Linked DNA regions of Callithrix jacchus. The protein of the gene in region 3 interacts with the protein of the main gene of each other region in a pairwise test. Links are inferred from orthologs where the notes say so. Each region holds a gene or a part of one and is shown on either strand. Other genes may lie near its edges.

Region 1 (4,105 bases), on a different chromosome or scaffold from region 3:
TAGGGCCTGGCCCCGGGACCTGCCGAATGCGGAGGCTCCCGCACCCCGAACCCACGCAGAACGATCTCACAGGGAATGGCGGAGAGTTGGGGGACCCCGCAGCTGCGCGACCCCTCGCTGGAGCGGCTAGGCCGCCCCCTCGGACCCGGAAGGATCCGAATCTGCCCCCGTGACAGGGTCCTCTCCGCCGAGGACAGTTTAGAGGCAGGCGTACGCGGCTCTGCAGGTAACAGCGTCGGCTCCGGCCGGGCCCGGCCCCGCCCCCAACGACTCCGCTCTCTGGCGCTCACCCCTAGCCCAGTCCGCCATGGTGCCTTCCCCGGCTCTTCAACGCCGACACCGACGCGGCAACCGCCGCCTCGGACGTGGCGCAGTCAAGGGGCAGGACTTCCGGCCCCGCCTCCGCAGCGACCACGCCCCTATATGCCCCTGCCCCTTCCGCCTTGAACTCGCTGACTTCCGGCTGAGGGCTACGAGTTGGGAACCGCCGGTCGCAGGAGCGCGGCACGGATGTGCCTTTCATTTTCCGCACCGTCCCAGGCTGGCGTGCAGTGACGCGATCTCGGCTCACTGCACCCTCCGCCTGCCGGGCCAAGCAGCCCTCCCGCCTCGGCCTCCCAAGGTGCTGGGATTACTGGTGTGCGCCACCGCGGATGTGACGTTTGTTGTTCCTGTGAGCGTAGGGCGGGGCGGGGCTGTTGGCTCGGTGCCAGGACTACGGTGTGGGATAGACGCTTCCGTGGGTTAGGTCCTAACGGCGGGGAAGGATTCACAGGCGCGTCATGAGGAGGGAGCAGGCCCCCCCGAGCAGGAGCCCTGTTCCCGGCCACTTCCTGTCGTCCGGTGTCAGCAAAAGCAGCGTTTCCTCGCTGCCCGTTTTGAAGCACAGCCTCGTGTCCTTTGGTGTTTGCTTGTGTGCCTTCCCCTCGGGAACAAAAGCTCCGCGAAAGCATGGACCTAGGAGTCCCGTTCGCCTGCGTTCCCCAGCAAACGCCTAACGAACCCGATGGCCCAGGACTGAAAAGTCCCCCACTTCGGCTCCCCCTCCACACCCCATCCGTTCTGTGGAGATCCAGGGGCGGCGCTGTGTGTGTGGCAGGGCGAGGTGGGGGCTGAGATCCTTTCCCGTTGGAAATTCCTGCCCAAGAAGCGCGGGTCACAAGGAGAGGGGTCAGTTCGGTCGAGGGCGACTCGGGTCTGGAAACCTTCGAACCGCCGCTTCGGCTCCAGGCCGCGCCCCCTGAAGGCGCCGCCCGACGCCGCACCCCGTCCCGGCCTCCCATGCGCGCTGGCGCGGAGCTCTCTGGGCCAGGGCGGGGCCGGCGAATTGCGGCCCGGAACGGCTGGGGCGGGTCCCGGGGGCGCCATGGAGCCCCGGGCGGTTGCAGCAGCCGTGGAGACGGGGAAGGAGGATGTGATTATGGAAGCTCTGCGGTCGTACAACCAGGAGGTGAGCCGCCGCCGGAGGCCGGAGTCGGGCACGCGTGGCAGGGACGGGTAGGAGAGCGAGGCAGGGGCTGTATCCGGAGGCCGGGGTCGGGCACGCGTGGCAGGGACGGGTGGGAGAGCGAGGCAGGGGCTGTATCCGGAGGCCGGGGGGGGGGGCACGCGTGGCAGGGACGGGTAGGAGAGCGAGGCAGGGGCTGTATCCGGAGGCCGGGGGGGGGGGGCACGCGTGGCAGGGACGGGTAGGAGAGCGAGGCAGGGGCTGTATCCGGAGGCCGGGGTCGGGCACGCGTGGCAGGGACGGGTGGGAGAGCGAGGCAGGGGCTGTATCCGGAGGCCGGGGGGGGGGGCACGCGTGGCAGGGACGGGTAGGAGAGCGAGGCAGGGGCTGTATCCGGAGGCCGGGGGGGGGGGGCACGCGTGGCAGGGACGGGTAGGAGAGCGAGGCAGGGGCTGTATCCGGAGGCCGGGGGGGGGGGGCACGCGTGGCAGGGACGGGTAGGAGAGCGAGGCAGGGGCTGTATCCGGAGGCCGAGGGGCGGGCACGCGTGGCAGGGACGGGTGGGAGAGCGAGGCAGGGGCTGTATCCGGAGGCCGGGGGGGACGGGCACGCGTGGCAGGGACGGGTGGGAGAGCGAGGCAGGGGCTGTATCCGCGAGCACAGGGGACACGGCGGCGTCGGGGGGGCCAGGTCCGGGATGCGATGTTGAGGGGAGAGTGTGGGGTGCACCGCTGGGTGGCAGGTGCGTAGGGATGGGGGCGCGTGTAGACCCTGCCATCCGTTCTGAGCGGTGGCCGCCGCCCATCAGCGGACGCGGAGCCTGCCCCTCTCTGGACTTGAATTCACTGTTTCTCTCTGCAGCACTCCCAGAGCTTCACGTTTGATGACACCCAGCAGGCGGACCGGAAGGTGGGTGCTGGCCCGAGGGGTAAAGGGGCAGGGACGGGTGGCCCCAGGAAGAGGGACCTGGTGGAGCCGCTCTTCTCCTTGCCCACAGAGACTGGCGGAGCTGCTGGTCTCCGTCCTGGAACAGGGCTTGCCACCCTCCCACCGTGTCACCTGGCTGCAGAGTGTCCGAATCCTGTCCCGGGACCGCAACTGCTGGGACCCGTTCACCAGCCGCCAGAGCATGCAGGCACTGGCCACCCATGCTGGCATCTCTGTCTCCGAGGGCTCCGTCCCTGAGTCCGCAGACATGGATGTTGTTCTGGAGTCCCTCAAGTGCCTGTGCAACCTCGTGCTCAGCAGCCCTGTGGCACAGACGCTGGCAGCGGAGGCCCGCCTAGTGGTGAAGCTCACAGAGCGCGTGGGGCTGTACCGAGTGAGGACCTTCCCGCACGACGTCCAGTTCTTTGACTTGCGGCTCCTCTTCCTGCTGACTGCACTCCGCACCGATGTGCGCCAGCAGCTGTTTCAGGAACTGAAAGGAGTGAGTCTGCTGACGGACACGCTGGAACTGACGCTGGGGGTGACTCCCGAAGGGAACCCACCCAAGCTCCTTCCTTCCCAAGAGACTGAGCGGGCCATGGAGATCCTCAAAGTGCTCTTCAACATCACCCTCGACTCCATCAAGGGGGAGGTGGACGAGGTGAGCACTGATGGCAACCCGTGGCTGGGTCTCAGCTCAGCTCCAGCATTTTCTGGACCTGCTTGCTTCCCACTGGGTACCTTCGGGTTTCTGAGTGTCAGACATGGAGAGGATAGGATCTCTCAGCCTATTGGGACAAGGCCAAGGAGATGCCAGTTTCGGGCTGGAACCTCAGGGATCCCCTTCTGGCTCTTGCTGCCTGGCAGGAGGGCTGTGTGGTGTCAGGGGAGACTGTAAGAGATCCTTCACCATGAGGCCATGAGTGGGGCTGACACACTGTGTGACCTCCCCAGGGAATGTGTTTCTACTCAGGGAGGTGATTTTTTTTTTTTTTTTCTGAGACGGAGTTTCGCTCTTATTACCCAGGCTGGAGTGCAATGGTGCGATCTCAACTCACCACAACCTCCACCTCCTGGGTTCAGGCAATTCTCCTGCCTCAGCCTCCCGAGTAGCTGGGATTACAGGCACGCACCACCATGCCCAGCTAATTTTTTTTGTGTGTTTAGTAGAGACGGGGTTTCACCATGTTGACCAGGATGGTCTCGATCTCTTGACCTCGTGATCCACCCGTCTCGGCCTCCCAAAGTGCTGGGATTACAGGCACGCGCCACCATGCCCAGCTAATGTTTTTTGTGTGTTTAGTAGAGACGGGGTTTCACCATGTTGACCAGAATGGTCTCGATCTCTTGACCTCGTGATCCACCCGTCTCGGCCTCCCAAAGTGCTGGGATTACAGGCACGCACCACCATGCCCAGCTAATGTTTTTTGTGTTTTTAGTAGAGACAGGGTTTCACCATGTTGACCGGGATGGTCTCGATCTCTTGACCCCGTGATCCACCCGCCTCGGCGGAGGTGCTTTTAAGAAGACAGAGGTGGTCATCTTTTGCCCCCAGCACTACCAAAGTCACTTAGGAGACCCCAGGGGGTCAGGCATGGAGTATGGGAGCTGCACAGTCAGTGCCACATATTCTTGGAGTGCAAGACAGTAGAGCCTCAGCAGGCAGCAGTGGGATGAGTGGGGCTCCTCACAGGAACCCTTCTTTCTTTGGTCAGGAAGATGCTGCCCTTT
Region 2 (4,214 bases), on a different chromosome or scaffold from region 3:
TCAATGGAGAGCACAATTTCAGAGTCATATAGATGTCCCCCTGAATCATGGCATGCCACTTCTAGCTGTGTGCCTTTCAGCAAATTATTACACTACTCTGACCATCAACTTCCTCTGGCAACAGGGAAAAGTAACCTCTTACGAGGTTCTGTGAGGATTAATTATGTCTGTCCCATAAGTGAAATGCCTAGTACAGCTTTATGCCCACAGAGGTACTAGTGGCAGCTTTTCATGAACACTTAAAAGGTTCCGGGTAACACTTCGGGACTGTGTTAAATGCCTTACAGACATTTTGTAAGTCCCTTCCAAGGAAGCCGGGAGGAGAGAGCTCTGCCAATAAACTCTCAACTAAAATCGAGGGCTGCCACATACCAGCCTCATGACTTTAGACAAGTCACTCTAGGCCTCGATTAGAATGCCTGGAAAATGGAGGTAACATCTCCCAGCCTGGCAAAGATGACAAGTATGAGAATTATAAAAGACCACACACAAAGCAATAATAGAGAAGATTATCCTTCCTTTAACACATTCTAGGCAAGTAAAATATTGGAAATAGTAGATGTCATCCTCCCAGCCAGGGCTCTATGGCCCATTTCTCAATTATCTCCGATTCTCTAAAATCTCAGCAAAAAGCTTGTTAAAAAAGTAGCTAAAGGCCACAATTATGCTTTGGGAAGCTCTGCTCTGCACAATGAAGAAAAAAGTGATGCAAAGGAAACCAAGCCAAGGATGTCAACTTTTCTTTGAGCACAGGCCTTGTCAGCTTCTCATTTGCTGTTCCTGGCCAGAGAACTGGGCTGACGAGAAGAGCAGCCAGCCAGGTCAGCGGCTGCCCTCCCGGATTCCAGCCACCCCAGCACCCGTGGTTATTTTTGGCTGGCACTGTCCTACCCCTGCAACCTCAAACCTGCCACTTCGCAAGCCTCCACCACCAACGGGTGAAACGCTCCTCCTTTTCAAGGGCATCAAGGAGGGAAGCTGGAAGGCCGCCAACTCCGCCTCGATGGGGACCTGGTTCAGGCAATTTCCACCTCAGCTCCACATCAGGGCACTCATACCCGGAACTAAAGCCAGAGACTCCCGGGCGGGACGGAGGTGCAGCCAAGGGATTTGTACCGTCAGCTTGGCCTTGCCCATCCCCCGGACTGGAACGGCTCCATCACCACAACAAAATACGCAGGGGGGCCTGCGCCCTCGTTCGCTTCCCTTCCTGCCGCCCCAGGTCCCAGGGGTCTCAGAGTCCCACCCTCTGTAACGGCCACCAGTGGCGCCGAGGGGAGAGCCGGGTACAGACCCGGAGGCAGAGGGAGGGCCAGACTGGGCCAGAATCAAACTCCAGGCCGCCAAGAGAGGAGTCGTCTGAGGACCAAGCGCGAAGCCAGGGGAGGGGAGGGGTCTGAAGGGCCTCTCTGGCTATTCCACCTCGGACCCCGACCCCATTCCGCGGGCAGGCGCAGGGCCCAAACTGAACCCTTAAGGAGCCTCAGAGGCCGCTTAGGCCCCGCCTTCAAAACCGCGGGATCCAGGTCAGGGTCTGCAGTGACCGCCCTCCGGTGGAGAAGCGGCGGGTCAGGGGTGAGAGGTCGGGGCCGCGGCCCAAAGTGGGCCGAAGAGGAGAAAGAAAGGGTGTAGGCCGAGACGAATAGCACCAGCGCGCCCGCCCCGCCGACTCACCCCCAGCCGCCGCCGCCGCTGTTGCCGCCCCGGGCCCCAGCCCACACTTACCGTCTTCCAGGCTCCAGCTGCTGCTAGGCCCCACTCCCCGCTCCGAGCGCCTCTTCCGCTTCCGGCTCCGACCTCCGCCCGTGGCGGCCCCGCCCCCTCGCGTGACGCAGCCGTCGCCTTCCCGGGCCCAACCCGGCTCGGAGGCCTGGCCGCTCTAGCCCCCGACTCGAAGGCTCCGGGGCACCAGCGCTCTCCGCTCCGGTGGACGCCGCGGCCTCGGAGACTAGTTCCGGGAGGGCCGAGGGGGCCGGCGCGGTGAGGCTCGCCTCCCGCCGTGTCGCGGCGCACGTAGGTCCCCGGACCTAACAGGTGTGCGGCCCGGGTCAGAGAGGCGCTCGAAGCTGAAAAGTACGGCCCCGACCCGGCCGCGGGACTCGGCCGGCTCTGCTGCCCCGACCCCGCGTGGTCAGCTAACTCCCTCCTGCGCGCGGAGAGGACAGGCATTGTTCTCGGAGCCCGGGAGAGCCTGAGAGCCCTCTGAGGTCTGTGAGCGGGGCCTCGGCAAAGCGGACGCGACTCTGCTTGCGCGAAACAAGAGAACGACTCATTATTGTCTCTCGCTGTGTGCCGGTTTTTTGAAAGCCGTGGCGGCCCGCCCCGCACTTTCTGGGAAAGCACCCGAGAGCCACTCTGGCGGAGCCTGCCTGAGGGGCCGGGGTCTCGGGGAAGGAGGTCCCCTCTCCTGGAGCCCCCTGGAGTGGAGCGGCTTCCTGCCAGCCTGCGTGGCCTCTCAGTTGAAGACTTCCCCCGCGGGCCCCGTCTCCGGGTCACTGGACAGTCCCCTTTTGCAGAGGCCTCCAGCGTGGGGTCACCAAACCCCGGACACCTATTGGCCCGCACGGGGATGGGGAGGATTAGGAGGCCCCACTTTCCAGATGAGAAAACCGAGGTGGATCTTTTGAGAGACCTCACTGTGAGCTTGCGCGCCCTGCCCAGTCTAGGGGTGACGCTTCCGTCCCCGGCCTCCCGACCGTCGCGCAGCAAAGTGACAGGGCGTGGCGCCTAATTGTCCCCACGCCACGCCAGGACTAGAAACCCGCAGCCGGGACGGACCAACCCTCCAGGCACCGCCCCCTCCTCAGGACCGCTGGGCGGGGCTCCAAGGGTTTCCCTAGCACCGCCCCAGCGCGCGCGCGAGAGCCGCGGCCCAGACCATACACTCCTCCTCGCGGGGCTGGGCCCTCCACGGACGCGGAGAGCTGTCGCTGGGGAGCCCTCCGCCCGAGCCGCGGCTGCCCCTCGAGTCCTACGCCAGCTGCTCGCCCTGAAACGGGGTCCCACGGCGTGACTTCTGGGGGTGTTTAGTATCCCTCACATCTCTGCCAGCTCCACCACGCTAACCGAAGTAAACAGCAGGAGCTAATTCAAAACTGGGTCCCTTCCCCAAAATTACAAAAATTAGCCGGAGGTGGCGGCGCGTGCAGAGGAATAGCAGGAGGGGGATTTTTCCGTGGTGGCGAAGCAGTTCTGTATCTTGATTGTAGCGGTGGTTAAAGGAGTCTACATATGTGATAAAATGGCACAGACCTAGGCACGTGATATTGTTGGATCGTGTTCTACACTTACACAAAATAGAACCTTTGGAGGAAACTGAGTGACGAGTACTTGAACCCTCTATGTACCGTCTTTGAAATTTCCTCTGAATCTGGATTTCCAAATAAAAGGTTAATATTTTTAAAGGTGCCTTAGAGAAAAACATGAATAATATTGATTGCACGCAGGTCTGGCGACACCTTTGGCACACTGAATGGCATCTCTAATCCGTGCCTTGCACGATTGCCCCTGGCCAGGCCCTGTCCTGGGCTAGGGCGTCCGCTGGAAGATAGGACTGCAGACTCTCTCCTGCTTGGCTTTGAGGTAGATGGGAGGCCTCCTCGCTGGGAGGCCGGACACACCCACCTCTGTACTCAGCACCTGACTCGCACCCGACTCTGTGGCACGGCTCCCCTGGAAGGCTCTGGCTGATGCAACCCTGGCCGGCTCTCGCACGGGAAAACCCGACCAGCAACCCACCAACTAATGGCGGCCCGTTCCGTCCCAATCCCGCTTCCCTGGAGCCAATCGGAGCACGCAGCTATTTCTAGTTGCTCACAGCCATAAAAACCCCACCCTGCCCCAGGAAGTCAGCGTGACTTCTCTGGCCCCCTTTCCCCGGACCCTAGAACCTCGCCCAGGAGCCAATTAAATTTCTTTATTTCAATAACTGGCCTCAGTTGCCTCATTCAAACCTTACAGTAGAGATGCCAGATACAATATAGGCCGCCCAGTGAAATTTAGATTCCGATAACAAATGGATAATTTTTTAGTAAGTATGTACCATGCGTGTTTAGGACATACTTACGCTAAACATTATTTCTCAATTCTTTCTTCATCGCAGGTGTTGATATTTCAATGCTTTCATGTGTGTATATAGTTACTTTAAAGCCACTACTTTAATGGAAACAACACACCAAAGCCTGTAGGGTACAACGAAAGCAGTATAAGACGGA
Region 3 (3,500 bases):
CAAAATGGAAAACTAGTCTTGAAGTTGAATTTGAACTGTTTAGTAACAGCTTACCTGTCACGAATGGTCATGGTAATCTTCTCGCCAAAGGCCTGTTTGAGCACCTTGTGCGCTTTATCAGAGCTCCACCCTGCACAGTTTTCACCATTGATCTGGAGTACTTGGTCCCCAAATCTCAGACCAACCAATGAGGCTGGAGAATTAGCCTGGACTAGCTGAACAAATATACCCTAGATAATAAGAAAATAAGTTTTGTCATTAACCTCTATTATGGTATGGTTCTAAAATGCTGGAAAATTAGGAAACAACTGTTTATGTTAAAAAAAAAAATCTACCCTGTGACAAAAGAAAGAAAAAACAGAAAAAACTATATGAGTGTAATATATCAAGTTATCACCTCAAAAGAAACCGAAACATTTATCAAGGCAGTAACTCCAAAGAAGAAAGCAGAAAAGTGAGATTTCAATGGCAATTTCTATACCAAATCATAACCCACCTGACCAACCACAACCCCCACCACTTTCAACTTGGAATACATAAGGAAAATAAAGGACAACTTTAATAAATGCAAGCATCTATGAGTCTCATAGAATACCAAATTATCACTACATCATCAGTCATATTTAGGGGACAAGCAAGTCACATGTTAGAAAGTTTGGTGAGTTCTTTTACAGCTTAATAAATGACAGTTTAAGGTCATAATTGTACCTTTTGAGCTGAAGTGTTCCTTTACCCATTTGTTACATTGTATAAAATCAGGTAAGATTAAAGTTTATTTGATAGCCTAAAAAGATGGGCATATTAAATCTACATGCACAGGCTTGTAAAGAACACACTATGAAATAAATATAGAAAACTCTAGTACTGTTAACCAGTAACTACACTTATATGGATAAAGTTACTTATGTAAAATCTCTATCAGAAATTGAACAAAATATAAATAGATAAGTATAAAAGAAGAATAAGACAGGTAGAATATAAGAGCATCTACAAGGCTAGACCCTTCCTACAATCCCAAACGAGGTAAGACATTTCTATCACACGTCTGTTACACTGTAGAGGGATAAGCAAGAATTAGGCAGCGCCCCATAAATGAACCAACGCGCTTGGCCAAGTGAACAAATCCACTCCAAGTGTTACCTACAGTGGGGCCAAGGGGTCTGTGAAAAGTATCTTTTCTCTTTAGGACAGAGGAAAGAACACAAGAGCAATCCTGGCATAAGGGGCAGCAATATACTGTATTCCCTGAAGAGAAAAGCAGAAAGGGCACCAAAGTCAGAGCATCCCAACCAAGCACGCAGATGTATTCTGAATAAGATATAAGTGAACAAGGCCATCAATGGCCTCAGCCCCCTGGGTGGGCAGGTGGGGTTGGGGCTTCCTGCCAAGATCAGGCTTCTCCATTTACAGCAGTGCACTACGCTAGAGATGTATGACTGAAACTGAATCCAGTGAGGTAATGGCTAAAACTATAAATCGGGGTAAAGACTCAGCATGTCCTTAACAATTCTAAATGGTTCCTGAGAGTTTCATATCTTCAGTATGGTAAAGTGAGAGGTAAAGTAATCATAAAGTCAAGTAATAGCTGCCCTAATTAGAAAAAAACTTTTACTCAGAAAATGACATATTAAATTCAAATAACAGTAAAAACCATCTCACAAATACTGATTGGTTTAAAAATGCACACATGTTGACATCAACTCTCATTGGTCAGTTTTTTCTTAACCTTCACATCTGCTCTATTTAATTGCCACAATTCTATACAAACTACATTATAATATATGTAGGCCAGTGAACTGTATTCCAGTTAGAGTACTCAGAAAAGAAAAATGTCTTTTAAAGTAATGTGGTCAGAAGTCCCAACTCTGCCTCTGCAAAAGAGAACATCCCCAATTGAACAAAATTTGTATATTTAAAATATTCTCAACTATAGATACACCATCATAGTTAAAGCATTTCCATTTCAAATTATTTTAACATTAGTCACTTATACAGGTATTAAAAATACTTACATTATCTATTGATTTAAGCCTGAGACCAATTTTTCCATCTTGATCCTTACACAAAATGACTTCACGAATCCCTTGCTTAATTTCTGCTCTACGAATTCCAACATCGTTACCAGTTACAGGAGCCACCATATAGTTCATACTGGAAGGTCTTGCTACCAACTGCTGACAAAACCATATACGATGTGTAAATATTTAGAATCACTCTCCTCGAAAAAAACAATGATAATTAACTGGAACATACTCAATTATGGCTTTCCAAAAAGCAATCCACAAATAATTTCCTTCAGATAAAGTTTTATGTCTATGAAAATGGCACTGGCTCCATTATTAATTCTTCATTAACTTATTCCCACATATATCATCTCTAATAGATTCAATGATTCTCTGTTACCTTTTGAATTCACTGACATTTGTTTCACTGGTACATTGGCTTGTCTTCATCTCAAATGCATTACCTTTGAACTTAAAGGCCACATGCTTGAAACACATTTTCCAGAGGATTCTTTTATATGTCATGATCTCTGACAATCTACTTATCCTTTCAGAATTTCCAAAAAGGGACAACCTTCCTACTCAGTGTTACTGAGAAGGCTAAATGAAAAGTGCGTATGTGTATGGACCTGGCACAAGTAAGACAGTCAACCATTATGTCTTCTCCCCTCTAATGACCATCTATGGATTAACAAATCACAGGCATAAACCAGAATGCCCCAGAATACCTATATTAGGGACCTGTGTCAGGTACCATGCTTCAAGTTTCTAATTTTTTTCAAGTTTTCCTGACCAAAATTGGTTTCTTATTTTAAGTGGAACCTTTCCCCAATCAAAAAGAAAATGGAATAATATCAGGCTATCAAAAAAAGGAAATCTTGACATTTGGGCACATGAATAAACCTAGAGAATATTATGTCAAGTGAAATAAACCAGACACAGAAAGACAAGTATTGTCTAGATCTCACTTATATATGGAATCTGAAAAGAGTCAAACTCACACAAGTAGAGTTACCTTCATTCTTTCCCCTGTCCACGTCAGGGGCTGGGGTGGGCAGGGGAAAGAATAAGGGAAATGTTGGTCAAAGTGTACAAACTTTCAGTTATCAGTACATTCTAGAGATCTAATGTACAGCATGGTAACTATAGTTAATAACACTGTACTGTATACTTGAAATTTGCTGAGAGTACCAAGTGTTCTCACCACACACCAAAAGAAATGGTAACTACGTGAAGTGACAGATATATTAATAACCTTGACTCTGGTAATGATTTCACGGTGTGTGTGTGTATCGATACATCAAGTTGTACCGAAATACACAGTTGAATATAAACAATTTTTATTTGTTAATTATACCTCAATAAAGCTGGGGGTGGGGTGGAGATCCAGATGAAACATCAAGAGAAAAAAAGTATGTGAAATGAAAAATTCACTAGATGTGGAGAGTTAACAGAAATCTCCAGCAACAACTTAAAGTAATTTAAAATTAAAAAGAA
Region 4 (3,500 bases), on a different chromosome or scaffold from region 3:
ATTAAAATGCATACTAATAACTTGAGCTAGTTGGGCACAGTGGCTCATGCCTATAATCCCAGCACTTTGGGAGGATGAGATGGGTGGATTACCTGAGGTCAGGAGTTCCAGAGTATCCTGGTCAACACGGTGAAACCCCATCTCTACCAAAAACACAAAAATTAGCTGGGCATGCTCGCACAGACCTGTAATCCCAGCTACTCGGAAGGCTGAGGCAGAAGTGCTTGAACCCAGGAGGCAGAGGTTGCCGAGATCCCGCCACTGCACACCAGCCTGAGTAACAAGAGTGAAACTGTCTCCAGCAAAACAAACAAACAAACCCCCTCCAGCTATCTAGCATGTCTTCAAGCCATACTCATTTTCAAGTGATTTTGGACAAGCTTAACCTCCTTAAGCCTTTTTCAACTGTAAAATGGGGACAATGGTACTGACTTTAAAAGGTTATTCTGTTAATTAAGTAACACACAAAACACTTCTAATATTAACTAAAAAAGGACTTTTTAAAAGTATTTATGTAGTCAAGACACAGGGACTTACACATAGACAAATCTTTTCACCTAATAAAATCCATGGTTATTTTAATGAAATTAACTGTATGTTGAATCATGTTTCATACAGGTTCTTTAAGGCAGTGACAAGGTCCTAACCAGGGTATATCTAGTATAAATGTAATCGAGAGCTTGACAAAGTGGATGCTGAGAAACCATGAGCCAGTGGCACAGTGAACACCTGATTCTCTGATACTCAACCATGAGACTTTTATTTTTTGGGACATTGTCTCGCTCTGTCACTCAGACTGGAGTGCAGCAGCGCCATTATAGCCTCACTGCAACTTCAACCTCTTAGGCGCAAACAATATATGGGCTCATGCCTATAGTCCCAGCTACTACTTCCTGAGTAGCTGGGACTACAGGCGTGCACCACAATGCCCAGCTTTTTTTTTTTCAGAGTCTTGCTCTGTCATCCAGGCTGGAGTACAGTGGTGTGATCTTGGCTCACTGCAACCTGCACCTCCTGGGTTCGAATGATTCTCCTGCCTCCGCCTCCTGAGTAGCTGAGATTTACAGGCACATGCCACCATGCCTGGCTAATTTTTGTGTTGTTAGTAGAGACAGGGTTTCACCATGTTGGCCAGGCTAGTCTTGAACTCCTGACCTTAGGTGATCCACCTACCTAGGCCTCCGAAAGTGCTGGAATTATAGGCATGAGCCATCACACCCAGTACCAGCTTTTTAAATTTTCTGTAGAGACAGGGTCTATGATGTCCAGGCTGGCAAACTTTTAATACTATTAAATAAGTAATGGCTATTTCACTAGTCTTGGTTGTGGTGGGGAAAGGACTAACACTGATCAAACTGGGAAAGTGATGTATCTATTTATATATCCTGAAAATTATGGTTCAATTATTAAATCTATTTTTAAAAAAATGAAATAACTCCAAACACAGAAACCTCACACTTGGCAATAAATCAAATGGCTTTACATCGTCCCTCCATTTAAAACATGGGGACCAGGCTGGGTGCGGAGGCTCATACCTGTAGTCCCAATACTTTGGGAGGCTGAGGTGGATGGATCACTTCAAGCCAGGAATTCAAGACCAGCCTAGCCAACATGGCGAAACCCTGTCTCAACTAAAAATATAAAACTTCACTGAGTATGGTGGTACATGCCCGTAATCCCAGCTACTCAGAAGGCTGAGGCAGAGAATCCCTTGAACCTGGGAGGTGGAGGCTACAGTGAGCAGAGATCATACCAGTGCACTCCAGCCTGGGTGACAGAGCTAGACTCCATTTCAAAAAAATAATAACAAAAAACCCCATGGGGACTGAAGACCAACAGGACCCTTGCAATCAGACAAGAATAACTGCTGTAGCAGCAGGAAGCCTGCACTAGCACAGACACAATAATGGGATGATACAAACAAGAATGTGAATGTGTGTGTAGACTGCCAGAGCCAAGGATATTTTATTTTCTTCTTGGTGGTATCAAATTCTAAATAATAGATATTTTCATCTAATTTTTAACGAGAATGATCAAAATGCATGCATTAGGCCCACCTTCATCCTCATCCTCATCTTCATCTTCTTCATCAAGTCCAAATTCTTCTTCCTAGAGAATAACAGTATAATATCAGATTAACTCTGCCAAATCAAGAAGTGCAAATAGTACAAATTCTGCCAAACCGAGAAGTACAAATAAATGCAACAGTATCAAGCAGGAAACTGTAATTTTATTTCTATCTACTTGGATGTACCAAGACCCACTGATTTTCCTCAATGAGCTTTATTTTACAATTTTTCTAAAAAAAAAAAAAAAAAAAATTTTTTTTTTAGAAGCAGTTCATTCGCTAGATGTTTAATTAGTATATAACTTTGGATAATTCAAGAAATGATCTTAAAATCTGAAATTTCAAAACAAGTTTAGACAAAAATTTCTTTCTATATCCCATTCATATACAAAGCTTTTTTCATGACCTTAATGTCAATCATACACCTAATGAGAGCACATGAACCCCAAGACTTATTTTTATACTACAAAAGAGCATGCTTTTTGCTAACAACTACTGTTGTCTGCATGTTTCCCAAAAACCTCTTTGAGGGTCAAAGTCAAGACACTGCTTTTTCCTGCCCTCGTACAGCATTCATTTCCTCAGGGATACTCTATTACTGGGTATCCCATAAACTAGACTATGTGCTTTTTCAGGGCAGGACCACAATCTCATTTAATTTTATACCCCTAATTCTTTAATATAGTGGGAATATATTTACTGAATATATAAGAAATAGTTTAGACTTTGTAAACATATACTTCCCTACAATTCAATGAAAGAACAGACATACCATCAATTTTGAACATTTCCAGTTTTCTCACCACCCTGAATACTCAACTCATTCCTTCCCCGGAGAGGACCAAAACTCACCTTGCACAGCCAGGAACCATACTAATTTGAGTTCAGAAGGCATTCCATTTAATAGTTATTTAAAGGCAGACAAAAACTAAACCAGATTCATATTGTAAATCTATTTACAGGTATACTAATTTCTTCAAAAGGTGTTTTTCTTTTCTTTGTCATCTTTTTTAAACTCCCACTTGTTTTAATTACAAATAGGAAGGAGGGTAGAAAACAGCTGCACTGACCTCCTCACTGACTTCATCGTCGTCATCATCCCCTTCTACATCTTCGTCTTCATCATCATCTTCATCAAACTCCTCTTCTTCACCATCCTCATCCTCCTCATCCTCCTCATCTTCTCCTTCTAAAAACAGTCCAAATGGGATTCATTAAATATCCCCAATGCTCCACAGGGCACAAGGTGTTGGGGATCTATGGGCTGGCTCACAGAACAAATGCTGGTAAGGCCACAAACTGCAGTCACTTTGTCCAACAGAGTCCCATAAAATCAGAAAGCTAGAAGTCCTGGTAGACAAGACAAACACTCTAATTCTCACTGGTGACATGATACAATGGCTAAGATTTGCTTCAAAATTATAAGGACTGG
Region 5 (4,177 bases), about 39 Mb from region 3:
GAGGGCAGAGGCCATTAGAGGGACTTGGGCAGGCCTCTCTTTACTAAGGGTAGGGCAGGGGACGGACAAGGCAATACTCACAAAGGCCACGCCACTGCCACTGAGGCCAGTGTGGATGTCGATGTAGGCTTCGGGTACCTCCTCACACCGCCCACAGGCCTCCAGCAGATGCTGCAGGAGCTCGGTCTCGCTGCTGCCTACGTGGCGGCCCCGTGTCATCACGATGGCCCCTTCCTGGACCATGCAGGGCAGGTTGGGCAAGACCCGCAGCACCCGTGTGTGTGGGGGCAGCAGCTGGCCAGAAAGAGGTTAGAATCAGGGAGCCTGTGGGACTGGGCCCTGCTGGGCAGGCATCAGCAGGGGCATCAGGAAAGGTCCCCATCAGCTAGCTGCAGGCTCCCGCGGCTGCCTCCCAGGTACAGCACCAGGAGGGAAGCTTAACCTCAGCCATCGCACCCAGCTAGGCCACCTGGCCACCTCTCAGGCTCTCTGGAAGGCTGCCTGCCACCCAAGCTGGCCAGCAGAGCCTAAGCTGGGACCAAGGCCTTAGCCCAAGGGATACTCACCTCCTCCAGGGTGCTCAGAGAGACCCCAGCAGCCACGGACACTAAGATGTGTTCAGCGGTGACCACAGGAGCCACCTCTGCCAGAACAGCTGGCAGGATGTGGGGCTTGGTTGCAAAGATGACGAGCAGGCAGCTCTGCAGCACTTCCTGGTTGGAGTGGGTAGTCCGGCAGCCCAGAGCCTGAGCCAGGGACACCAGGACCAGGCCTCAGGGGCTGTGTGAGCAGCACACCCTCCTCACCACAGCCCTTCCTGCTGGTGGCCACACATTCCCAGGGTCCCAGGGCCTCTCCCATTGCAAGTGTCTAGACCACCCCCATGTCACCAGTGCCCGAGATTCACCCAGACTAGACCTCCTCCTCACAGGCAGTTCTGATGTCAGCACCTCCCCAAGCCCTGAGCCCTCCATCCCATGAATATCCGTGGCCACCATCCCAGCATGCACACACACACGTGCACACGCACGCACTCATGAGCACGCACTCACATACACACATGCACACACAATCACACTCACATGCACATACGAACTCACACGTACACACATACATGCATTCACGAGCACTCACAATGCACTCATGTGCACACACGTACTCACATGTGCACACACGTGGTACACGCACACACACACTTTGCTATGGCTCTCCACAACCTCCCTTTCCCCAGTCCAGACCAGCCAGTCTCCAAACTTCAGCTAAATAAGCCACCCATCCCTGGCTCTGGTAAGTGTCTTAGTTGGACGGGAGCTAAGAGTTATCCTGCGCTCTGTGCTCACTTGGAAGTGACATAGGTTCCTGTCTGTCGGTGCACTGGCCAGTATGTGCTGAGCTTCCACTTTTCCTGGAAAGGAAAAGGAAGAGGGGTTGAAGGGGTAGGGTAGGATGGCAGTGAGGAGAGGGAGGAACTCGCCTGGCCTCTCAGGCTCAGCCACACCTGGCCCATCATGGGCCCCCTTCTGGCCTCAGGAACCCAAACCAGGGATGCGCCATTCACTGGGCCCAGGCACTCAGATCCACTGACTCTACTTGGCAGTCAACGTCCCTGACTGCTGCTGGGTATGGAGGCCAGGAGCTTGCCTCGTTGGTGAGGACACAGATCCCTGGGGCCTCTGCCTCCAGGGAAGGGAAGGCTGCCTGAGGAGAAGAGGCAGTACTTCTAACACCAGGCTTTGGAGGAGTGTGGAGGGTACAAAAGCAGCTGATTTATGGCCACAGAAGGCCCAATGGGGGCCCAGGTTCCTCGGGAGGGAGAGTCTGTTGGGATGTCCACGAAGAGGCTAAATGCCTACTTGGTAGAAACATGCTTTTGTGGAGTACAGGGGTGGGGAGATAGGGTTAGATTTTGGTAAAGTCGAACAGGAAGACAGAAGTGTATACCACAACCTGAACGCAGCTACTAACCATGACAGTGGCAGCCATACACAGCAGTATTAGGCTCAACACTACACATATACATCTAATTACCCTGTACAGCTCTGGGAGGCATGTAATACTGCCGGGTTTCACAGGTAAAACTAAGACCTCATAGGAAGCTATTTTCCGATTCATCATGACTCCTCTGAACCCTGAAATATGGCTGAAGGCAGAGAGCCAAGAGTCACCCAGCTCTCCCCCAGTCTGCAGAAGGGCTTCTAAATGCCTGGAGAAGTATATGATCAGCGCAAACATCCCGGCTATAGAGCCGTGGTTCCGCCAGAGATGATTTTGTCTGTCTCCTCCTCCCACCCAGGGTGCATTCGGCCGTGTCTGGAGGCACTTTTGGCTGTCACAACGTACGGGTGCTACTGGCAAAGGACGAATGGTGTCACTAGAGCCAAGGTGTCTGCGGAGAAGCCCTGCTGTTCCCCAGAGAGGGGCTGGTGCACAGAGAAAACCAAAGGCTGGGAGACATGAACCTGGCTAAGGCCACGCGGCCAGGAAGCCGGCCACGGAAGTGGCACCAAGCCACGTGTAACTCAAATCTTCCCACAGCCACGTGAAAAAATTACGAGCAAACAGGCGTGTCCCCGGCTGAGCCCAGCGCAGCGGAGGCCCGGGTGCCTGGGCGCGCGCCCTCCGCCCCAATCTCTCGGAAGGAAGCCTCCCACGGGGCTGTCCCACGCCAGGCCGCGAGCCGAGCTCCGCGCCGCCCCACCTGCTCTAATGAGGCCCTGCGCGATGGCCCCCGCCATGCGACCGGCGCCCACGAAGCCCACGCGCCGCGGAGCCTGCCCTGTAGCCGCCATCTTGTCGCACTGGCCGCCGCCGCGCTGGCCGCCCATCCACAGGCCGCGCCCCACCCACAGACCTCGGCCCTACCAATGGGACACGCCTCCCCGCCCCCCCCGCCGATTGGCTGCCGGGACCTCACGCTCCGGGCCCGCCCGGCTTTTTGTCCGCTCTCTACTGGTCCGCAAGGCGCGGAGGCTCTGCCTCTCGCTGCTTATTGGCCCGAAAAGGCTATCCCCCCTCCCCTCACTGCCCATTGGCTGAGAGGAACCGAGGGTTGGCGGGGCGGGCGGGGCAGTAGCGCTCGAGCTGCCGGGGTTGCCTGGACCGGTCCCAGGCGCACGTGCGACGAACAGATCTTCGTTTTTCGGAGGGGAGGGGTTGCGAAGCGGATTACGGGGCTGGTCGGGAGCCTGCGGTCCCTGAGGCTCCACCGACCACAGACGGGGGGCCGCGAGGCGGCACTAGGGGCGGAGGCCCAGGTCACAGAATGCTGGCCGGGGCCAGGGGAGGGGCCGACGGGGAGGGGAGGGGGACAGTGGGGGAGCGGAGATGCTCGTCATTGTTTTTGTTTTTTGAGACGGAGTCTCGCTCTATCCCCAGGCTGGAGTGCAGTGGTGCGATCTCAGCTCACTGCACTTATCTCCCAGATTCAAGCGATTTCCCTGCCTCAGCCTCTGGAGTAACTTGGGATTACAGGCGCGGGCCACCACGCCCGGCTATTTTTTGTATTTTAGTAGAGATGGGCTTTCACCTTGTTGGGCAGGCCGGTCTTGAACTCCTGACCTTGTGATCCGCCCGCCTCAGCCTTCCAAAGTGCTGGGATTACAGGCGTGAGCCACCGCTCCCGGCCGTCATTTTAATGATACAAGAAAAATTAGGTTTGAAGATCTGAGTCTGGTTTTGTTTTCGTCGTCCAATCTAAGGCTTCATGTTACAGACGTTTTGTTGTTTTAGTCTGAAGACTTTGGCATTTCCTGAACTCTTCAGTAGTTAAATCCTCTCACTGATTCAACATTTACTGTGCAGTTGCAGCCTCTGGGCCCTGCCCTAGGCCTGGGCAAGACCACCACACAGCAGCAGATGGGACAAGCCAGATCACAGCCTACCGCCCTGTTTGTTGGCAATGGAGACAGAGCAGTCGGCACATGCAGGGGATGGCCAGGGTGTCAAGGCTCTGAAACAAATGACGTGGAGCGGGACAGAAAGCCACCAGGAGGCTGCTTCGGCCACCACAGCCAGGAAATCTGGTGGTGCAAAGCATCCGCTTTGCACTAGCTCTCAGTGCCAGCAGCTGTCTCTCCTGCCACCCAGGATCCTGCCAGCCCCTTCCAAAACAGACCCCCTGGATTTTCTCCCAGGCCAGTGATGGCTTGGGACCAAGTCTGTGGAGGTGAGAGGGGCC
Region 6 (4,020 bases), on a different chromosome or scaffold from region 3:
AGAAAGTGGCAGAACTAGATCCAAACCCAGATCTACCTCATTAAAAAACAAACAAAAAAACAAAAAAAACACTTGCTGTTATATGAAGACAATTCAAATTTCTACAAAGACTTCAAAGCAATCTAGAAAACATTTAGGACAGGTAGGAAAGTGAAAATATAAGTGTTACTAGATTGAAACTCCAAAAATTATGTTTGCAGGTGGACAAACAGCAAAAGAAAATCATTGGGTGCAGCTGATAGCAACATTAAAAAAATCTATATAATACAATAAAAGGTACAGAAAAAAGTCAGTTTAATTTGGATAAAACAAATCTCAGTGTCAACTCTGCATTTTTTACTATGTAAGATGAGCAAAAATGAGTTTGATATATGGTATGCTTGATACAAAAAGTGAAGACTTTCAAGAAAAGCTTTAGCTTTGAGTAATCTGAGCTTCCATATCCTATGAGGTCAATTATTTGGTTACCATCGATATTCCAAACACTAAGATGCTATCATTAAATATGACCTCCCCAATGTATAACTGAAACTTGAGGTTTACATATATAAGTTAGCAAAAGGTCACAGCATGGTCACTAAATATAATTAAACCATTTATATAGTTTTTGTGTTTTCTTTATCATACTCGGTGACCGTGTATTTTATCCTTTATATTTATGGGTTTCAGCTTATTTCCCTACTTAAGAATGTCAAGTTCTGACTCATGTTCATTAACATGAAAAACTTGGTAGGAACATGAATTTCAGTAGTTTCTTGAATGTCTTAAGTCTGATCAGTGAAAAGAAACAAAACATCCAGGAGGGAGCTATCTAAATTAGAAATATTTTACAACAGAGAGGATGGTACTTTTACAAAGCATAGGACTTAGCTGGAATATGCAGTCACTTGGCCTGAGGAACACAATAAGTATTTGACTTTTTAAAAAATGCAAGAATATGAAAAAATAGCAAGCTGGCAATAATCCTATAAAAGGAACACATGTTAAACATCATAATTTCTCCAATTTCTAAGATAGGTGGTGCCTAATACTTGGTTAGAAAAACCTACAAAACCACTCTTGGGTTTTGTCAAATTGCTGTTGATAGTATGAAGTATTTGTACCTTGAAGAAACAAGCAACATTCTAAAGAAAAATCAGTGCTTACTTGGTAATCATTTCTCTTAATATTTGGAACATCCATGTTGTGAGTAGAAGGACAAATATCTTCATATTTTTTGCCCGTGAAAATATCAATTCCAACAAGGTGAACCTAACAGAGGGGAACAGGAAACCTGTTTAATCTCTGCCAAGTATATCACTCATTACACACACAAGAGTACAATACCAACGCTGATTACGACAGGTTCTTTTTCTCCTCCTTCCAAGGTCATCTAATTTTACTTTCTTAAAAAAAAAAAGTAATGGTCATACAATTAAGATGCAGTAACAACTAAAGAGTATCATGACCTGCCAAGACCCAATATAGTCCAGTGATTCAATTATGAGTAGACAAGAAAAATAAAGTGTAGGTTTCTTAGAATTAGTAGAACAGGTTTTCTCATCTGTAAACTGAATAGACCTAGGTCACTACCATTCAAGAAAGTTTCAGTTCCCCGTTAATGAAACATTGTAAGGGTCCAAGAAAGGAATGCTACCTTTAAGTTTTCAAAGTAATAACTGATCACTCAGCAATTGTGGGACAGAAAAAAATAGTGCTTATTACAAAATTTTAAGTATAGTAATCTCATGATCTGCAACAGAATACAAATGAGCAAAATCCCAAGGCCGAAGCCAAAGCCTGAACAGCAAGGGCACTTACCTTGGCATGACCATGCTTTCCAGTTTTGGAAGTTGACATCTCCACTATTTTGCATGGTCGTCCTTTGAGCACCACAAAGCCGTTTTTGCGCAAGGCCGAGCACTGCATAGGGTAAGTGCTGGAAGCCCCAGCATCTCCAGTAGTGAAATCAATTTCGTCCGCCATGGTGGGTTGGGGAGGTGGTAGTTTTTCTGTGTGAACTACACAAAAAGTTTGTGGTTGCTTTTTAACAATGGGTGTGTAGGCAGGGAAACGTCTCATTTCGGACAAGTTATGTGCCAAGCATCATGGGCCTGTTATTTCTGCATGTATAGAACACCCACCCTAGACTAGCGGGCACTCTCTAACTCTGGCCTCTAGAAACTTTTCCAGCTATTGTTTGGGGAGGTGGGATGAGAAGTCGCAGAGGAGCCCGCAGAGGGTGGGGACATCCGCCCTGGGCGCTCCTCCACGCTGGAAACAGCAGGTTCTGGCGCCCATCGCCCCAACGCAGAAGCCGGCGACCTTCCCGCGCCACCCAGCTCTCCGCCGCCGCCCCGAACCCTACTGCGGGGGACCCAGCCCAGGCCGCACGTCCCCGCGAAGGATGCGGAGTAACAGGACCTGGCCGGCAGCACCCGGCCCTCTGCTAACGGGCGCGCACCGCGCCCTCCACCCTTCAGCGCCGCCGCTGCGGCCGCACAAGCGCCTCCTGTTCTGCCGGCATCCCCGGCTCTGCTCGGCTCGGCCCGGCCCGGCCCGGCTCGGCCCCACCAGGGCCTGAGCCCCGGCGGGTCCCGCGCTTGCCTCCGTTCCCCTATCCATTCTTCTTCCTTCCCTCGGTCAGCGCTCGGCTCTGGGCGCCTTCCCCGGCCCTGCCTCGCTCTGGCCCCATCCCCATCAGCTTTTCCCCAGATCCTCACCTTTCAGCTGGCTACGAGCGCCTTTCGCCTGCGCACCCGCGCAGGTCCCCCACAGCTGCGGCGCCGGCGGCGGCGGCGCTGGCGGCCGCGGCAGTTCCAAGAGCCGGGGCGGGGCCGCCACACTTTCCACACCCCAGCCTCCCCGCCCTTACCCGCCCCCACCCCAGCCTTACTTCCGGGATAGGCCCTGGAGCGTCACAGGCACCGCCCCCTCGGGCTACCATTGGCTACCAGGTTCCCGAGGCCCCGCCCAGTCACGTGAAGCGCGCCCTGGCAACCCCACGTGCTGCGGATTAGTGCACTTCCGGCGTGGAGAGCACTTTCAGCATTCTGGTTGCTTGAGTGAGCTCGCTGGCAGAGGAACTTGCGCCTTCCAACTCTTAGGTTTGTTGCGTTTGGGTCGCAGTCTACTTTAATGGGAACCAAGTGAGGCACCCGGTGGCCCGTGCCGTCAGGTACATGGCAGTTATCACGGGACGATCGTCGGCACTCGTGAGGTGCGCAGATTCAGTGAGTGCCAATGTGGCTGGCTGTGAAGGGAACTTTGGGTTAGAGCTTCTGGTTCAGCTTGCAGCCTTTCTTGGGGTTCGAAGCCCCCTCCTGGTCTTCGCAGAAGAACTCACGTGCAGTATTTTATTACCCGGCTCGGCACCATGGGTTCTGAGAACCTCACTCACCCCTTGGTGAGATTTTGGCATTGACTGCCGCAGGGTGCCCCTGTAGAGTCAGCACTGCTCCCTGGGGTGGACACTCCTGAAGCATCCGCCAGCTTACAAGCAGCAGTGAAATGACTTAATCCACTTCTCACACCAAAAGCTGTTGTGAAGTTGTGGAGGCGGAGCTTGTCTGACCCGTATCACATTGTTGGTCCAGACAGGTGTCCTGCCAACTCATCCCTTCTTTCCTCCTGGTATTGGCATTCCTTAGAGTTTGGGTTTTAACTCTGCCGTATTAGAACGCTTGGATGGTCTTCACAACTGACCTAGAGCTTGTAGACTGCAATAGAAAGGTTCTTAAAAGAGATGTGCTCCCCCTTCACATTTTTATTTCACAACCCACTGTGTCCTTTCTTGGGGAGGTGACCTAGGAAATTACTTCTCATTCCACACCCGCATTTATGTGGTACTTTGATTTCCTGTTACTGTCTTATGAATAATCTCATATCTCACATTCATATATGACTACAGTTTACACATATCTTTCAAACATGTACAGTTTAACTTTTACAGTAAGTTACTGCCCTCTCATATACTGAACTCAGCCTCTAGCTAATATATGAAACAGCCATTACAGCAGTGGCTCATGCCTGCGATCCTAG
Region 7 (3,548 bases), on a different chromosome or scaffold from region 3:
AAGGGGATGAGGTCAGCCAGTGGCCCCACCCCCATCCGTCCCCCTTGGAGCCCCTTCCTGCGCTGAGCTCACCATGACTCAGCAGCCCAGCAGCCGCTGCCTGCAACAAGGACCCCAGATAGCGGCCCGGCCGGGCATCTGCAGATCCCCTTGGTCAGGGGCTGCCCCGCCGGGGCTGCTCGGAGCGGCTCTCGGTAGGGCAGGACCTGATCTCACACCCCACACCCCAGTGGCTTCAGCTCCCTGCCCAGCGCACCGGCTGCCTCGATCAGGGCGCTTAAGTAGGGTCAATGTTTGTGCCAACTGTCTCCCAGAAATCAGCATGGACCAGGCCCACGTAAAAAATCCGCATCAGCCGACGACAGATGTCTCGTCCATCGGTCCACAACGCAGAGCTTCTCTTGGTGGGCCTGAAGGAGCACATGTCAGCCAAGACACTGGGGCAACTTTAGAGATTGTTTCAGGGCCAAGGAGAATTCTCAAAGTTCTCGAGGCCAGGGGGTTGGCTTCAAAACAGCCCCCAGGAAATGCAGCCCCAGAGACACTGCAAAGCTCGAAAGAGACATTGCATTCCTCCCTGTGTCCACTCCCAGGAAAGCACTGGGCCCCTGAAAGAGCTCCAAGGTATCCCCAAAGGCCCAGCCAATCTTGGGAGGGTCCAGAAGGCTGTCCACCGTTCCAGAAGTCACCCCACCTGGTACAATGCTCCTCCCGGGCTTCCAGCACTGGGTGAACCCCACGGCTCCAGAACAACTGCCCTTTCCAAGCTGCAGAGAATCTCAAAGACGTAAAGATCTCTTCTGGGAGGGCTCCAAAAAAATACAGACTTTGCATCGTAAACCCTCGCCTCTGTAAACCCCAGGGCTCCAGTCCCCCCAACCCTCCGTCTCCCAGAGATCCCCAGGGGTTCACCTACAGCCTTTCAAACTTCCCAAGGATCCCGAGACCCCCTTATCTCGCAGCGCAAACCTAGGACAACTAGAGATCCTCTCTGCGCCTCTGAGGTGCCCCTCTCCAGACTCAAGGTTCCAGAAAAAATCCATGCCCTCGGAAACCCCAGAATCTGACTTACTTTCCCGAGACACCCCAGGACCCCAGGCTCATCAGTTCACAGGGCTCTTAATGCTCCTATACAACTCTCGCTCCCAGAGGGACCCTCACCCCGCTCATGAAACCCTTCACTTCCCTGAAGCAGGCCCAGGGCCCCCAACCCCCATCCCCCATTTCACAACAGCCTCGGGTTACAGGCGCGTGACTTCGCCCTGCTTCGGGTCGGGGGGCTGAGACTCCTTTCTGCTCCGGATTGGTCAGGCACGGCCTTCGGTCCCGCCTCCTGCCACCGCAGATTGGCCGATCGCCCGCCCCGAACGCCCCGCCCCCGAGGGCCCGCGCACTATAAAGGGAGCCGCCCTCGCCACGTCCCATAGCAGTTCGGCGGTCCCGCGGATCTGTCTCTTGCTTCAACAGTGTTTGGACGGAACAGATCCCGGGGACTCTTTCTTCCAGCCTCCGACCGCCCTCCAGTTTCCTCTCCAGTTGCAACCTCCGGGACCATCTTCTCGGTCATCTCCTGCTTCTGGGAACCTGCTAACACCGTTTTTGTGGTTAGCTCCTTTTTGCCAACCAACCATGAGCTCCCAGATTCGTCAGAATTATTCCACCGACGTGGAGGCAGCCGTCAACCACCTGGTCAATGTGTACCTGCAGGCCTCCTACACCTACCTCTCTCTGGTGAGTCCCCGGGACGCCCCTGGCCCTAATTTCCTCCAACTGCGCACCTCCGGCCCTCGGCGCAGGCGCCGGCTTTCTTTGTCCGGTCGGGTAAACAGAGGGCGGAGTTCCCCCTGGCCTCGCCTCTCGCTAACCACTGTTCCCTCCATCTCTTCCCGCAGGGCTACTATTTCGACCGCGATGATGTAGCTCTGGAAGGCGTGAGCCACTTCTTCCGCGAATTGGCCGAGGAGAAACGCGAGGGCTATGAGCGTCTCCTGAAGATGCAAAACCAGCGTGGCGGCCGCGCTCTCTTTCAGGACATCAAGGTAACTGGCTTGAGGGTAATGGACTACATCTCCCAGCAGTCCGTGCGCGCGAGGCGCCTTGGCTTGTGGGCTTAGATGTCGCGTGGGCTTCTGGGAGATTGAGTTCGGTTTTGTAAGCGTTCTTAACAGCTGGAAATGGTGTCTCACGTCGTGCAGTGCCCCCATGATGCGGCAGTCCACACCGCTGCGTGGTCTTCTATAGATGTCGTTGTAAAAGATAGGACGGAGTAGCCGGGCGCGGTGGCACCAGCCTGGCCATCATGGTGAAACCCCATTTAAAAAAAAAAAAAAGGACGGAGTTCGGAGTGATAAATACAAGGGTCACATGTCCTTTTGATCCCCAACGACTCTTGGGAAATGTCACTTTGGTTCTTTGTGCCGGTGTGTGTATTCTGAGCACTTTCCCTCCTGTATAGAAGCCGGCTCAAGATGAGTGGGGTAAAACCCTGGACGCCATGGAAGCCGCCATGGCCCTGGAGAAAAATCTGAACCAGGCTCTTTTGGATCTTCATGCCCTGGGTTCTGCCCGCACGGACCCCCATGTAAGAACCCACTGCATCCATCGCTACCCAACCATACCCCTCAAGCCTTGCCTCCCTTTGGGCAGATTTCCTTCAGAGCCACATTTCACACCTGTCACATTTCAATCTGCAGTTGGGAGCTCTCCCTCTTTTCCAGGGACTGGGTTTCTAATTTCTTCCTCTTTTCTCTCAGCTCTGTGACTTCCTGGAGAGTCACTTCCTAGATGAGGAAGTGAAAATCATCAAGAAGATGGGTGACCACCTGACCAACCTCCGCAGGCTGGCCAGCCCACAGGCTGGGCTGGGCGAGTATCTCTTTGAAAGGCTCACTCTCAAGCACGACTAAGAGCCTGCTGAGCCCGGCCACTTAGGAAGGGCCTTTGCAAAGTAACAGCGCTTCTGCCTAAGCCTCTCCCTCCAGCCACTAGGCAGCTTTCTAACTACCCTTACAAGCCTTGGACCAAATGGAAATAAAGCTATTTGAAGCAGCTGGTGGTTTTGTGTGTGGTGTGGTTGGTGCAGAAGATGAGGTGGGATCTGTTCTCATAAAGCTTCTGGCTGGATTGGGATGGCAGCGAAAAAGGCGTTGGCTGCATCTCCGGTTTTCTTATCTGTTCTAAGACAAGAGCTGTCTGTGGGTTATGTTGAGCCTGAGGGTTCTCTGCTTGCCTGGCTGTTAACTGTCCCTACCAGATGGTAGAGATAGAATTCAGGGAGTTGAATTAAGACTCAGGTTGGTCCCTGGAAACAGATCTGTTAGGTCTCAGTAGCCAGAAACAGCCCTATTTAATGGGTGATGGTGAGGCCAGGCATCATGCCAATCTCTTAAATATTGTGTGCCATGGCCGGGTGTGGTGGCTCACACCTGTGATCCCAACACTTTGGGAGGCTAAGGTGGTCGGTCATCTGAAGTCAGGAGTTGAAGACCAGCCTGGCCAACATGGTGAAACCCTGTCTCTGCTAAAAATACCAAAAAGAATAAAAAAAG

Evidence for each region.
Region 1: the proteins of SDCBP (region 3) and RIC8A interact in binary tests that used the Homo sapiens proteins (3 or more experiments, as listed by UniProt). The link is inferred for Callithrix jacchus from reciprocal best matches to the Homo sapiens genes SDCBP and RIC8A.
Region 2: the proteins of SDCBP (region 3) and CLK3 interact in binary tests that used the Homo sapiens proteins (3 or more experiments, as listed by UniProt). The two-hybrid records come from large-scale screens. The link is inferred for Callithrix jacchus from reciprocal best matches to the Homo sapiens genes SDCBP and CLK3.
Region 4: the proteins of SDCBP (region 3) and ANP32B interact in binary tests that used the Homo sapiens proteins (3 or more experiments, as listed by UniProt). The two-hybrid records come from large-scale screens. The link is inferred for Callithrix jacchus from reciprocal best matches to the Homo sapiens genes SDCBP and ANP32B.
Region 5: the proteins of SDCBP (region 3) and PYCR3 interact in binary tests that used the Homo sapiens proteins (3 or more experiments, as listed by UniProt). The two-hybrid records come from large-scale screens. The link is inferred for Callithrix jacchus from reciprocal best matches to the Homo sapiens genes SDCBP and PYCR3.
Region 6: the proteins of SDCBP (region 3) and EIF5A2 interact in binary tests that used the Homo sapiens proteins (3 or more experiments, as listed by UniProt). The two-hybrid records come from large-scale screens. The link is inferred for Callithrix jacchus from reciprocal best matches to the Homo sapiens genes SDCBP and EIF5A2.
Region 7: the proteins of SDCBP (region 3) and FTL interact in binary tests that used the Homo sapiens proteins (3 or more experiments, as listed by UniProt). The two-hybrid records come from large-scale screens. The link is inferred for Callithrix jacchus from reciprocal best matches to the Homo sapiens genes SDCBP and FTL.

Annotation. Positions count from the first base shown.
Region 1 is NC_133511.1:131,723,590-131,727,694, reverse strand, and holds the start of RIC8A (chaperone Ric-8A), read left to right. Parts: upstream 1-1,305; 5' UTR 1,306-1,366; coding exon 1,367-1,450; intron 1,451-2,308; coding exon 2,309-2,356; coding exon of another isoform or gene 2,357-2,444; coding exon 2,445-3,035; intron 3,036-4,089; coding exon 4,090-4,105. Other genes in the region: BET1L (BET1-like protein), read right to left, coding at 291-309.
Region 2 is NC_133509.1:21,643,564-21,647,777, forward strand, and holds the start of CLK3 (dual specificity protein kinase CLK3), read right to left. Parts: upstream 2,801-4,214; 5' UTR 2,170-2,800; coding exon 1,726-2,169; exon of another isoform or gene 1,138-1,725; coding exon of another isoform or gene 1,117-1,137; exon of another isoform or gene 1-1,116. UniProt on the Homo sapiens protein: Dual specificity kinase acting on both serine/threonine and tyrosine-containing substrates. Phosphorylates serine- and arginine-rich (SR) proteins of the spliceosomal complex.
Region 3 is NC_133517.1:14,818,546-14,822,045, reverse strand, and holds part of SDCBP (syntenin-1), read right to left. Parts: intron 2,175-3,500; coding exon 2,013-2,174; intron 231-2,012; coding exon 55-230; intron 1-54. UniProt on the Homo sapiens protein: Multifunctional adapter protein involved in diverse array of functions including trafficking of transmembrane proteins, neuro and immunomodulation, exosome biogenesis, and tumorigenesis.
Region 4 is NC_133502.1:146,138,947-146,142,446, reverse strand, and holds part of ANP32B (acidic leucine-rich nuclear phosphoprotein 32 family member B), read right to left. Parts: intron 3,258-3,500; coding exon 3,139-3,257; intron 2,110-3,138; coding exon 2,058-2,109; intron 1-2,057. UniProt on the Homo sapiens protein: Multifunctional protein that is involved in the regulation of many processes including cell proliferation, apoptosis, cell cycle progression or transcription.
Region 5 is NC_133517.1:53,988,005-53,992,181, reverse strand, and holds the start of PYCR3 (pyrroline-5-carboxylate reductase 3), read right to left. Parts: upstream 2,801-4,177; 5' UTR 2,790-2,800; coding exon 2,699-2,789; intron 1,406-2,698; coding exon 1,341-1,405; intron 747-1,340; coding exon 567-746; intron 295-566; coding exon 82-294; intron 1-81.
Region 6 is NC_133518.1:16,140,956-16,144,975, reverse strand, and holds the start of EIF5A2 (eukaryotic translation initiation factor 5A-2), read right to left. Parts: upstream 2,801-4,020; 5' UTR 2,703-2,800; intron 2,001-2,702; 5' UTR 1,966-2,000; coding exon 1,801-1,965; intron 1,252-1,800; coding exon 1,147-1,251; intron 1-1,146. UniProt on the Homo sapiens protein: Translation factor that promotes translation elongation and termination, particularly upon ribosome stalling at specific amino acid sequence contexts.
Region 7 is NC_133523.1:42,797,869-42,801,416, forward strand, and holds FTL (ferritin light chain), read left to right. Parts: upstream 1-1,425; 5' UTR 1,426-1,629; coding exon 1,630-1,731; intron 1,732-1,892; coding exon 1,893-2,039; intron 2,040-2,455; coding exon 2,456-2,581; intron 2,582-2,753; coding exon 2,754-2,906; 3' UTR 2,907-3,048; downstream 3,049-3,548.